3 linked regions of the Zea mays genome follow. Each later gene encodes a partner of the first gene's protein in a complex. Links are inferred from orthologs where the notes say so. Each region holds a gene or a part of one and is shown on either strand. Other genes may lie near its edges.

Region 1 (2,668 bases):
ATAATATGGGTTCTGTGATTAATCGTTATTACTTCGATTCGTTAGAACAGCTTCCATTGAGTCTCTGCACCTATCCTTTTCCTTTGGGTTCTAGTTTGAGAACCACTTGTTTTTCAAAAAAGGGATTTGGCTCAGGATTGCCCATTTTTCATTCCAGGGTTTCTCTGAATTTGGAAGTTACCACTTAGCAGGTTTCCATACCAAGGCTCAATACAATCAAGTCCGTAGCGTCTACCGATTTCGCCATATCCCCATTTTACTTTTCTTTGAAACCAGGATTCCTTGTATAATTTAATCCATCTCTTAGTTTTTTTTGAATCATTGAATTCATTATTCGACGTAGTCTAGCAACTCATCTCTATTTGAGACACCCCGCTCGCTTATTGCAATTCAGAATTGCATTGATTTTATCGTTGATATATTTGCAATTCAATCGGAATGAATATATCCAAAAGTTTTTCTCTCTCCCGCCTCCCTCCTTCCTTTTTTAGAGTATTCCAAATCATACTATAACGCTTGATATTCATTCTTTTTTTCTAAACTGAATTAGAAATTTCATTTGCTATGATTCTATCTTCTCCTTAGTGAACTATTTATCCTTAAATTATTAACAAATAAAAAAACAAAATATCTCAAAAATGTATATAATGATCAAATGAAAATGCCAATCTCTTGGCATTTTCTCTTTATTATATTATTCATATATATTCTTCTTTTTCTTCTTTTCTATGTATTAGATTATTCCTCCGAGCCATATCAAATTGAAAATATCTGAAATCAAATTCAATATAGAATTTGGAATAGATTCTATTAAAAAAATCCATTTGCGAATTAGAGAAATAAAAAGAAAGTTCAATAAATTCTATAATCCTATTTAAGAATATCATTTAGTTAAGCATATCAAGCTAACTTTATCTTTATGAAATTCTAGTATTTTTTTTTTTCTATCTAAGTGGAACTTCCAATTTAGAACTAGTTAATAACTAAGATTAATAATTAAGATCTGACATTTTACAGATTCCCTATATATATATTTTTATTTGTTACACTATTTCTGTTATGTAAGCCCACTTAGCTCAGAGGTTAGAGCATCGCATTTGTAATGCGAGGGTCATCGGTTCAAATCCGATAGTCGGCTTTTTTTTCTATCGATGTTCTATGAACAAGAATTTCTCTTTTTCTCCGAATAAAATGGGGAATCAGGGTCTATTATGTCGTTTTACCTTACAATTTTGCTAGATACAAAGCATAAAAATAAATAATATATATACAAAAAATCCAGATGTTGATGAAATTCCATTTTTTGTGTTACTCCATTTTTTGTGTTACTTTAGTAGATTTTACTCTGTTTATCCTTTAGTTTAATTCTGTTTGAATTTCGCTGTATTCTGTAATGTAAATAGAACGAAATTTATTGTGTAAAATGAAATTTCAATAAAATAAAAAAGGAGTCTTCATGTCCCGTTATCGAGGGCCTCGTTTAAAAAAAATACGCCGTCTGGGAGCTTTACCAGGACTCACTAGAAAAACGCCTAAATCCGGAAGTAATCAGAAAAAGAAATTCCATTCTGGGAAAAAAGAGCAATATCGTATTCGTCTTCAAGAAAAACAGAAATTGCGTTTTCATTATGGTCTGACAGAACGACAATTACTTAGATATGTACATATCGCTGGAAAAGCAAAAAGATCCACAGGTCAGGTTTTACTACAATTACTTGAAATGCGTTTGGATAATATCCTTTTTCGATTGGGTATGGCTTCAACCATTCCTGGGGCCCGACAATTAGTTAACCATAGACATATTTTAGTTAATGGTCGTATAGTTGATATACCAAGCTTTCGTTGCAAACCCCGAGATATTATTACTACGAAGGATAACCAACGATCAAAACGTTTGGTTCAAAATTATATTGCTTCATCCGATCCGGGCAAATTACCAAAGCATTTGACGGTTGACACATTGCAATATAAAGGACTAGTAAAAAAAATTCTAGATAGGAAGTGGGTCGGTCTCAAAATAAATGAGTTGTTAGTTGTAGAATATTATTCTCGCCAGACTTGAACTTAACGAAAAAAGGAAAGGTTCATAGAATTTTTTTCCCCTTCCCCTTTCCCCGAACTAAATCGACCTAAGGCTCTTAATTCGTATTTTCCCGTTCACCTAGCAGAAATAGATTAACCCTAGGATACTTTTTTCTTTTTTGTTATTTCCTCGATGTGTATTTTACATACCACAGTAATTTGCTATAGAGAATTTCTATTAATTAAAGGTATTATTGTTGGAATAAATTGTTATTTAATTTGATACATTGTGATCGCTAACATTGATGAATTAAGAGAAACGGAAAGAGAGGGATTCGAACCCTCGGTAAACAAAAGTCTACATAGCAGTTCCAATGCTACGCCTTGAACCGCTCGGCCATCTCTCCTACATAATCTTATTATGGAAAATAAACTGAGTGAATAGCGAGTTTTCGTATTCCTGCAGTACAGGTACAGCCACAACGGCTCGGGAATTCCATGGCTCTATTGGATTGGATGGAAAAATTCCTTTTCATCTAAGTGGAAGGATCCTGTATTTTTTTACTAGGAATTCTGCTCCCTCGAAAAGTTTTTCTTTGGGGAAAACCAAAATAAAAAGAGAATGGAAGAATTCTTCTTATTCCAT
Region 2 (3,493 bases), on another chromosome or scaffold:
ACATCGTTGACTGACCCAGGTATTTGTTTATGATTTCAGGCGCCATGAGAGATACTAAATGTTACTCCATGGCTGACAGATTTTGGATTGCTGGCGTCTGTTCTGGTTTGTGTTGTGCTTTGTGTCTTATCTTCCGAAGTTTCCTGTTCCTGCTCGAGAAATCCGAAAGCCAATCTGCGTTCTGCATCATGTCATGTCCTAGTGTCGTACTGTTTAGTTATATGCCGAGAACATCTCTTTCATCAAATGAATATTTGGAAACACCAACGCACTTGACGCTAAATGGGAATGAAGTGTGGAGTATTTAAACGCCTCTGAAATCAAATGAAAGTTGTACTTGTACGAATCTCTTCCACAAATTGCACTGTATATGCTTGTACTGTTGCAGATTTACGATGGGTTTGGACTGTTCTCCATCCCCGGAGCGCGCTCAGGCTCGACGCTACCTAGCTACGGACCTTTATTTTTGGTACCTGATGAAACATGATGGTTTTAGGAGGCGCGGTGTTTCTCTGGCGAACGATGGCCGGACGTCCATTTTCGAGAACCACAAGACAAGAAACATATTCAAAAAAAAAAAACTCAACAATCATGGCAAAGGTGGATTCTTGTACAGCAGATTTCTTGTAGTATGGTATGTGAACAAAACAGTGTTCAGGGCCTGAAGGCGGAGGAGGCAACCCGTCTAACTAGACGGCCTTCCGCTGGCGGACCTTGAAGCTGGTGGAGCGGATGACGTCGTCGTCGGCGTTGAGCTTAAGCTGCAGGGCGTCCATGGACTCCGGCTTGGTGAAGTAGGTGATGAGGAGGTAGATGCCGTCGTAGTAGGTGGACGGCAGCCCGGTGCGGCTGTTCCTCTTCCTGATGCTGTATGCCAGCGGGATGACACCGCGGTTGAAGACCTCCACGTACATGGCGCCGCCGGCGACGAGCAGCTGCAGCACAGGAAAACACCAAGCTGAGCTGGATTGGAATGGTACGCAGATGGCATGTGACTGATAACAGCGATTAAGGGCCCGTTTGGAACTAACAAATTGTTAGCTAGGTTAAACCAGCTAATGGACTGATTGTTAACTCACAAATTAGCTGAGTTATTAGGTAGGGGGTGTTCAAACCTCTACTGCTATATATTCAAGCTGTTCACCTGTCTTTAATCCGAAACGGTTTCTTGTCTCTATATATTACCGCCGCAGCATCTGACTTCAATGTGAACAAACTGATTAGCTCTAGACTAGAGTGAGTTTCTAACAGAAACAGTGCCTAACATACATGGTGAATTCAGGATAGGATGGCAATTAACTATGGCGGATCCACTTTTATACGTTTAGAAATCCTAATATTTATTGGATGAAATTCGAAACACTCGGAACCCTTTTAACATTCGTCTCGCATTGCTCAAGTATGATACCAGCCTGTCCAGAAATTATCATCTGTCTGCTCTCTCTGCCATCGGAACAGCAAATGGTAGCGAGATATGCAAGAGGCAGAGGTGAGCCGATCGAGCCGTGCCCGTGTTACGCTGCTCCATCCATCCAGTTAGCTATAGTGGCAGCCAAACGGAGCGGAGGCAAACGCAAATTACCTCCTCGTAGCGCTGGATGAAGGCGAGGCGCTCCTCCTCGGACATGTCGGGGCGGAGCACGACCATGGTCTCGTACTGGCGGAGGCCGGGTGGGCAGGGCGGCATCTCGCGCTCCTCCAGCGCCAGCGCGGCTTCCGCGGCCGACATCCCGAGGCCGCCGCCGCCCAGCCCTAGCCCCGGGCCGAACCCCGACTCGTAGCCGACCTCCTCCTCCTCGTCCGCGCCGCCGGCCGCGGACATCGCCGAGCCGCCGTAGAAGGACGCCGCGTACCCAGTGGAGACCGCGCGGGGGCGGGCGAAATGGGAGGGGGCGGGGGAGGGGAGGCGAAGCAGCATCGCAGCGGGCGGGCAGGAGCGGAAGGGCGGCAGCGCGGCGGACGCGGATGCGGAGGAGAGCGGCAGCAGTGCCATGGGTGGCGGCATTGGAGGGGCCAAGGGGAGCCGAGCGGCAGGGGGGCGACGAGCGCGAGCAGGACAGGAGCCGGAGAGCGGGAGGAGGCGCTGACGCTGTTGGCGTCGCGTCCACTCGATAGATAAGGATAGGACGCCACGCCCTGTTTGGAGTTTGCACGGATTTTCATATTGGTGGAAAAACGGCCGGGTTGCCAGTTAAACCAAAATTGTTTACAACGTTAACTTTGTGTGTATTTCAACTATATGTAGTTATGCATTTCTTCTATGTTTTATGTGTATGATTCTTTTGTTGTCATATACGCAGCATGTATGTTTTCCTTTATTTACCCATAGAAAAAGTATAAATTATTCTTTTAATTATACTAATTGATTATCTAAGTTTGCTGTCCAAAGATTTAGGCAGCTAAAATACAATATCAACAGCGGACCTATATTTTTTTAAAAAAATCTCGAACAGTTGAATTGACTAAATATAGAGTAGACCTAATCTTCTCTGTATACGAGATATAAGGGGCCTGTTTGGTTCAGTTTTTTTCTGACCAGCTTTTCTGAAAATCTGGCTGTAAGGAGAATCTGGCTGTGGGGAGAATCTGAGTATCATTACGATTACGTGTGGAGGAAAATAAAGTTGTTCATAGGACTCAGGATCTAGAAAGTGATGAATTCATACTATTACAACGACTTAACCGATTATGTGTTTATATTGATTTTGGATGGTTTTTGTCCCAACGAATTTTATAGAAGCTGGCTGAAAAGCTGAGCGTTTGGCAATCCGCAGCAGCTTTTGGTGGCCAGAAGCTGCTAGAATCCGAAACAAACAGGACCAAGATAAAAGATCTAGTGAATTTGAACACCGAAAAACTTTGTGTGAAGGTCTGAAGACATTCTATTGTAGGTCAATTTGACAGGACTTCGACTCTACTTTCTCACGACTTCTTAAAGGGGCCAATAGCCGAAAACAACTCCTTGTAGAGCTCAAAAAGTCAAAGTCATTTTTTATAAAAGAGACACGATGCTGAAATATGGCTTTTATTTTTGGATTTTTTAAGCTTTTGCTCCAAGTTTTGCTGGTGTTCTCATTTTTACCCTTAGTCGTGTTTTTTTACTTAGTTTTGTCCTTCTAGTGTTATAGAGTAGTAGGGCAAAACTAAGAAAAAACACGACCAAGGTTAAAAATAAGGAATGAAGCAAAACTAAGGGTACAAATTTAAATAGCCCATTTTTTTACTTACAAAAACTTCAGCTTCATAGAAGGTACTCTACTGACAATAAAATAAGGAGCTAGAGCCCTTCTAAAAGGAGCCATATCAAATGAAACAACAGTATGAGTTTATTTGAGATTCACTAAAAATAATTTAAATTTTTGAAAAACTTTGTCAAACGATCTAGATCCACTAAATTTATATTTACCAAAATGGGGGATCTAAAGGCTAGATCCACTCTCTTGGTGAAGCTTCTCAATGGAAGCTCCAACAACATAAGTTTGATAGAGTTGAG
Region 3 (4,111 bases), on another chromosome or scaffold:
CTTCCTATGTGGGATGATGGTTATCTTTATATTTGTATGTTAATTAGTCTCTTTGCTGTTAAATTTCGTGTAAGTTGGTCCTGCCGATGGAGAATCGAGCAGCTCCCTTTTTTTGTTCTATCAACTATGCTGTAATTCTGGCTATGTATCGGCAAAAACAATTCTATATGCTGAGTTGGAGTCGGCAAAAATTCATATATGCTGAGTTGGAGACAGCAACTTGTTTGGATCATATTTTGCTGAGACACTCGTGAGAGATTGGCATAGCAAGAGACCTGAAAGTGTTAGCTGAAGTTTGAAACAAAACTTACATCATTGCAACACATATTAATAACACAACACGATCATTAGTTCAGCACGCAAGATCTTTGCACATTGCTGACGTATGAATAAATCGCTAGTTGGATTTTGTTTTACCTGTTAGGGCTGGATTGTTCGGTTAGAAGAGGATTGAAAGAGATTAAATCTTATTAATCCCCTTACAAATGAAACGTGTAATCTCTCCGTTACCACTAGATGAATCATTTAATATCTTCTAAAAAAAACTTATTTCGACACAGTTTCATTTTGAAGAGAGTAAAGAACTCAGCAGCTGGAAAGGAAAATAAAGAACCCAGTCAGTAGTAGGAACATTACTAGCCAAATGAAAGTGTGGCAGCCTACCCATCGATAATTATAGGCGAGGAAATAATTACTTAAAATATGTAGTATTTGATTTGGTACAAACTAGGCCAATTAAGCTCAGGGCAAATATAAAGCAAGGCAGAACTCGGACAACCTATTCCAGGATGTCCTCGTCAATCTCGATTGAAATGATCTCCCCATCATCGAACTGATCCTTCCTTGGAGGAGCAGGAGGGGCAAAGAGCCGCGCAGGCCCAGTTCCCTTCTTCTTGTTGCGCGGCCTCGCCTAGACATGATCAGACAGCTAAATAAAACAGAACAGGGGGAAAAAACCAAAAATGCGATGTAAATTGTGCTGGAGCACTCACATTGCCATATGAATGGTTGAACCTTTTGCCCCTTTTCGTTTTCTTGTCCCCTCTCCCGCAGTAGACTGAGCAAGACCAGATAAAGTTTAAAACTGTCTGTCAGTCCACAGGATCATCAGTATTGATATAAACAGAGGCCAAAAGGGACAGCACCCCAGTTGGGTTCGTAGTACAATCAGAGAATAAAATCCTGAAGCAGGCTATGGACACTAGAATTTCAGAAATTGATTTCAAATTATGATTAACTAAAACTTCTTTGAAGTACACGCATGAGAAGCATCCATCTTTGACTCTCTGTATTAATAAACCAGAAACAAGTGTTTACAACAGCTGAGGCCAGTGGCAACAGAGACGACCAAAACTATAGGCGGTAGTGATAAACAAGAGATTCAGCTTCCTTGATTGGCACTCACTCCTGACACCGTGTGAAGTGAATCAGTCAACCGGTAAAGGTTTAATAATCTACTACAGTAGTAGTTTTCAGTTCATATATATGCTCCTGCTCCTCGATACCGTAATTTTTTCGTGTGGAACAACTTAAGCTCTTAAGAATCCAGTTTCTAGAAACTAGTTTATAAAAAAAAAGGTTAATGGTGTTTAGAATCACCTTAATTTTTATAAATTGATTTTAGCTAGAGAAGACTAGCTTCTTGGTTTTTTAAGAAACTAGGAATCCAATTTCTATAAATTAGTTTGGAACCACGTCAATTTCTATAAAAAAAACTAGGTGCTTCCAAACAGACCCTTAGGCCATGTTTGGAAGCAACCTAGTTTTTAAGAATCTAGTTTCTAACTTCAGTTTCTATAAAGTGATTTATAAAAAAACTGGTTAATAGTTTTTAGAACCACCTCAATTTCTATAAACTGCCTTTAGCTAGATGGGATTAGCTTCTTGGTTTTTAAGAAACTGAGAATCCAACTTCTATAGACTGGGACAAAAGCTAGTATATTTGGAACCACCACAATTTTCATGAACCAGTTTGTTAAAAACTGGATGCTTTCCTTGGTCAGTCTAGTTGACCCAGATCGACTAACAGCATCACAACCTCCATCTCTTCTGGGGAGTACATTTCAGTAATAAATCCCTTGACTATTTCATAAAAAGAAGAAAAATCCCGATTGAATTGGAACGAATTTCCCAAGTGTCAGTGTAATAGTAGTCATTGCCTTTTCTCCCTTATTGCGTGGAAAACAGTAGCCATTGCTCGTGACATGTGTTAGAAAGAAACTACTCCTACATCGGACAAAAACAAGGGGAGTGAGGAGGTAGCTGTTTAATTACCGTCAAGAACTGGAGTGACGGTGGCCGACAAGACGGCGCCGACGGCGAACGCAGCCCGGGCGCGGGGGAAGGCGGCGGAGGCTGCGAGCGCGTAGGAGGAGGTGGAGACGTAGGATGAGACGGCGCCGTGGTTGTGAGATGGGAGGGCCGCGGCGGCGGTGGACATGGCCATGCCCTGGACGGCGAGCAGCGCCATGGGGGCAAGAAGGAGCGAGCAAGCGCAGGGAAGAGAGACTAGTGTGCTCGGGAATGGTGGTGTGGTGGATCAGGTTGGATAAGGGATAAAAGGGCTCGCAGTTGGAGCCACAGCGCACATCTAAGATGGGCTGCAGGGCTGGTGTGGGCTGGGCCAGAAGTAACCTTATCGGCCATTACTGTAAAGTATGGTGCACACACCTAGCCAGGCCGTCGTCGAGTCTGGTCAGGTCTTGGATCCTTTTCTTTCTCTTTCTTTTTTTTGATAATTAATATAATTAAGATGACCAAAGCTTAGCTTTGATTCATGCTAACAGAAAACAAAACCCTAGATGCTCCAGCGTCGTTCTCCGGCCCGTGCTTCTCCTGCTGAGTTAGGGTTCTGGTCCTTCTCGAATCTCGATTTCGGCGGTGGACTGGTGGAGGCAGACACTTGAACCCATGGTGGCCGGCCTCACGGCACCACCCGTGCAAGGTGCCAGCTTTCCGGACTGGATGAGCTCATGGCTTGTGCATCAACAAACCCTGAGGGTAGGGTGAGCGTCAAGGAGCGGCCCCGAGCTGTCCCCCACCCCCGTGCAGGCAATTTTCGGTCCTGGAGCTGGAGTTAGTAGTATTTGGGAGCGTGTGGCTGGAGCGATTCCAATTCATTTCAGCAACCGAAATACCGAATGGAGGAGTTGCCAAGGTCACTGTCAGGCACTCACCTGTGCACTACTGTACAGCACAGATTGAACGGTCGCTATCAGGTTCATGTCAACCGAGCAGAGTTTCAGTTTCAGTGCCCAATCATGAATAAAAAACCGATGGCCAAAATGTAGTGGTGGGAGAACGCCTCAAGCAAAGTGCCTTGCACGGAGTGGAGACGGTTCGATGGCATGACCTGACCACATGTGTCTTCTTTCTTCTGGAACCTCTAGAAGGAGAGGAACGGATGAATCCTCAACAACGCTCACGATTATGAATGGTGCAGGTGGCCACGAGAATTGAAGACGATATATATAGAGCAGAGAAGTAGAGGCCCCCTGATTTCTTCATTCTGAACAGTCCGGCAATTCGCCAGACGAGAAATGTCAAGCTAGTATATTATATATAAAACCCGAGACATTTTCCTTCTTTATTTACAACCATTACAGCGAGCAACGCCACCATGCAATAAAGCCAGCGCAACGGCGTGGCATGCCCACGAGAGTATCGTCTGTTGGTCGGCAACGGCTTCGCTTTGCCAACTCGATCCGCAGAGGATGGTCGGCTGCGGGTAACCCTTGTCGCTTGTACGCCGCGTCTTCTTCCCAGACCCCCTTCCTCTTCCAGAGCTTCAGAGTGGGGGGTGGGGGGAGGAGCCTTGCTAGACTAGGTAGTCGTAGTAGACCAGCAGCATGTTGTCGGGGACGATCAGGGGCAGGCTGTCGATGAAGCTGAGGAAGTGCTTCACGTTCTCCTTCTCCAGCGTCACCGTGTCGATCACGTCGTCGTCGCCGGTGAGCACCCACAGGTCTCTGGACCGGACCCTCTTCAGGCTCCCGCGGCAGAACGGGCATGACTGGGACCTTGTGTACCTGCAGTCACGGAACATCCAGGTTACAGCGTTCAGCATTGGTGTTGCTTGGAACAGTACAGGATGGGGTCATTAAAACAGTTG

What was found. Proteins that work in one complex are often made in the same cells at the same time.
Region 2: rps4 (region 1) and 30S ribosomal protein S6, chloroplastic-like share a complex: the UniProt entries of both Arabidopsis thaliana proteins name them as parts of the 30S ribosomal subunit. The link is inferred for Zea mays from reciprocal best matches to the Arabidopsis thaliana genes rps4 and AT1G64510.
Region 3: rps4 (region 1) and 30S ribosomal protein S31, chloroplastic-like share a complex: the UniProt entries of both Arabidopsis thaliana proteins name them as parts of the 30S ribosomal subunit. The link is inferred for Zea mays from reciprocal best matches to the Arabidopsis thaliana genes rps4 and PSRP4.

What each region holds. Positions count from the first base shown.
Region 1 is NC_001666.2:46,551-49,218, reverse strand, and holds rps4 (ribosomal protein S4), read left to right. Parts: upstream 1-1,456; coding exon 1,457-2,062; downstream 2,063-2,668. UniProt on the Arabidopsis thaliana protein: One of the primary rRNA binding proteins, it binds directly to 16S rRNA where it nucleates assembly of the body of the 30S subunit. With S5 and S12 plays an important role in translational accuracy.
Region 2 is NC_050096.1:303,987,664-303,991,156, reverse strand, and holds 30S ribosomal protein S6, chloroplastic-like, read right to left. Parts: upstream 2,121-3,493; 5' UTR 2,006-2,120; coding exon 1,583-2,005; intron 936-1,582; coding exon 690-935; 3' UTR 566-689; downstream 1-565. UniProt on the Arabidopsis thaliana protein: Binds together with bS18 to 16S ribosomal RNA.
Region 3 is NC_050098.1:170,389,889-170,393,999, forward strand, and holds 30S ribosomal protein S31, chloroplastic-like, read right to left. Parts: upstream 2,529-4,111; 5' UTR 2,471-2,528; coding exon 2,275-2,470; intron 1,058-2,274; coding exon 993-1,057; intron 911-992; coding exon 779-910; 3' UTR 566-778; downstream 1-565. Other genes in the region: putative RING zinc finger domain superfamily protein, read right to left, coding at 3,818-4,028.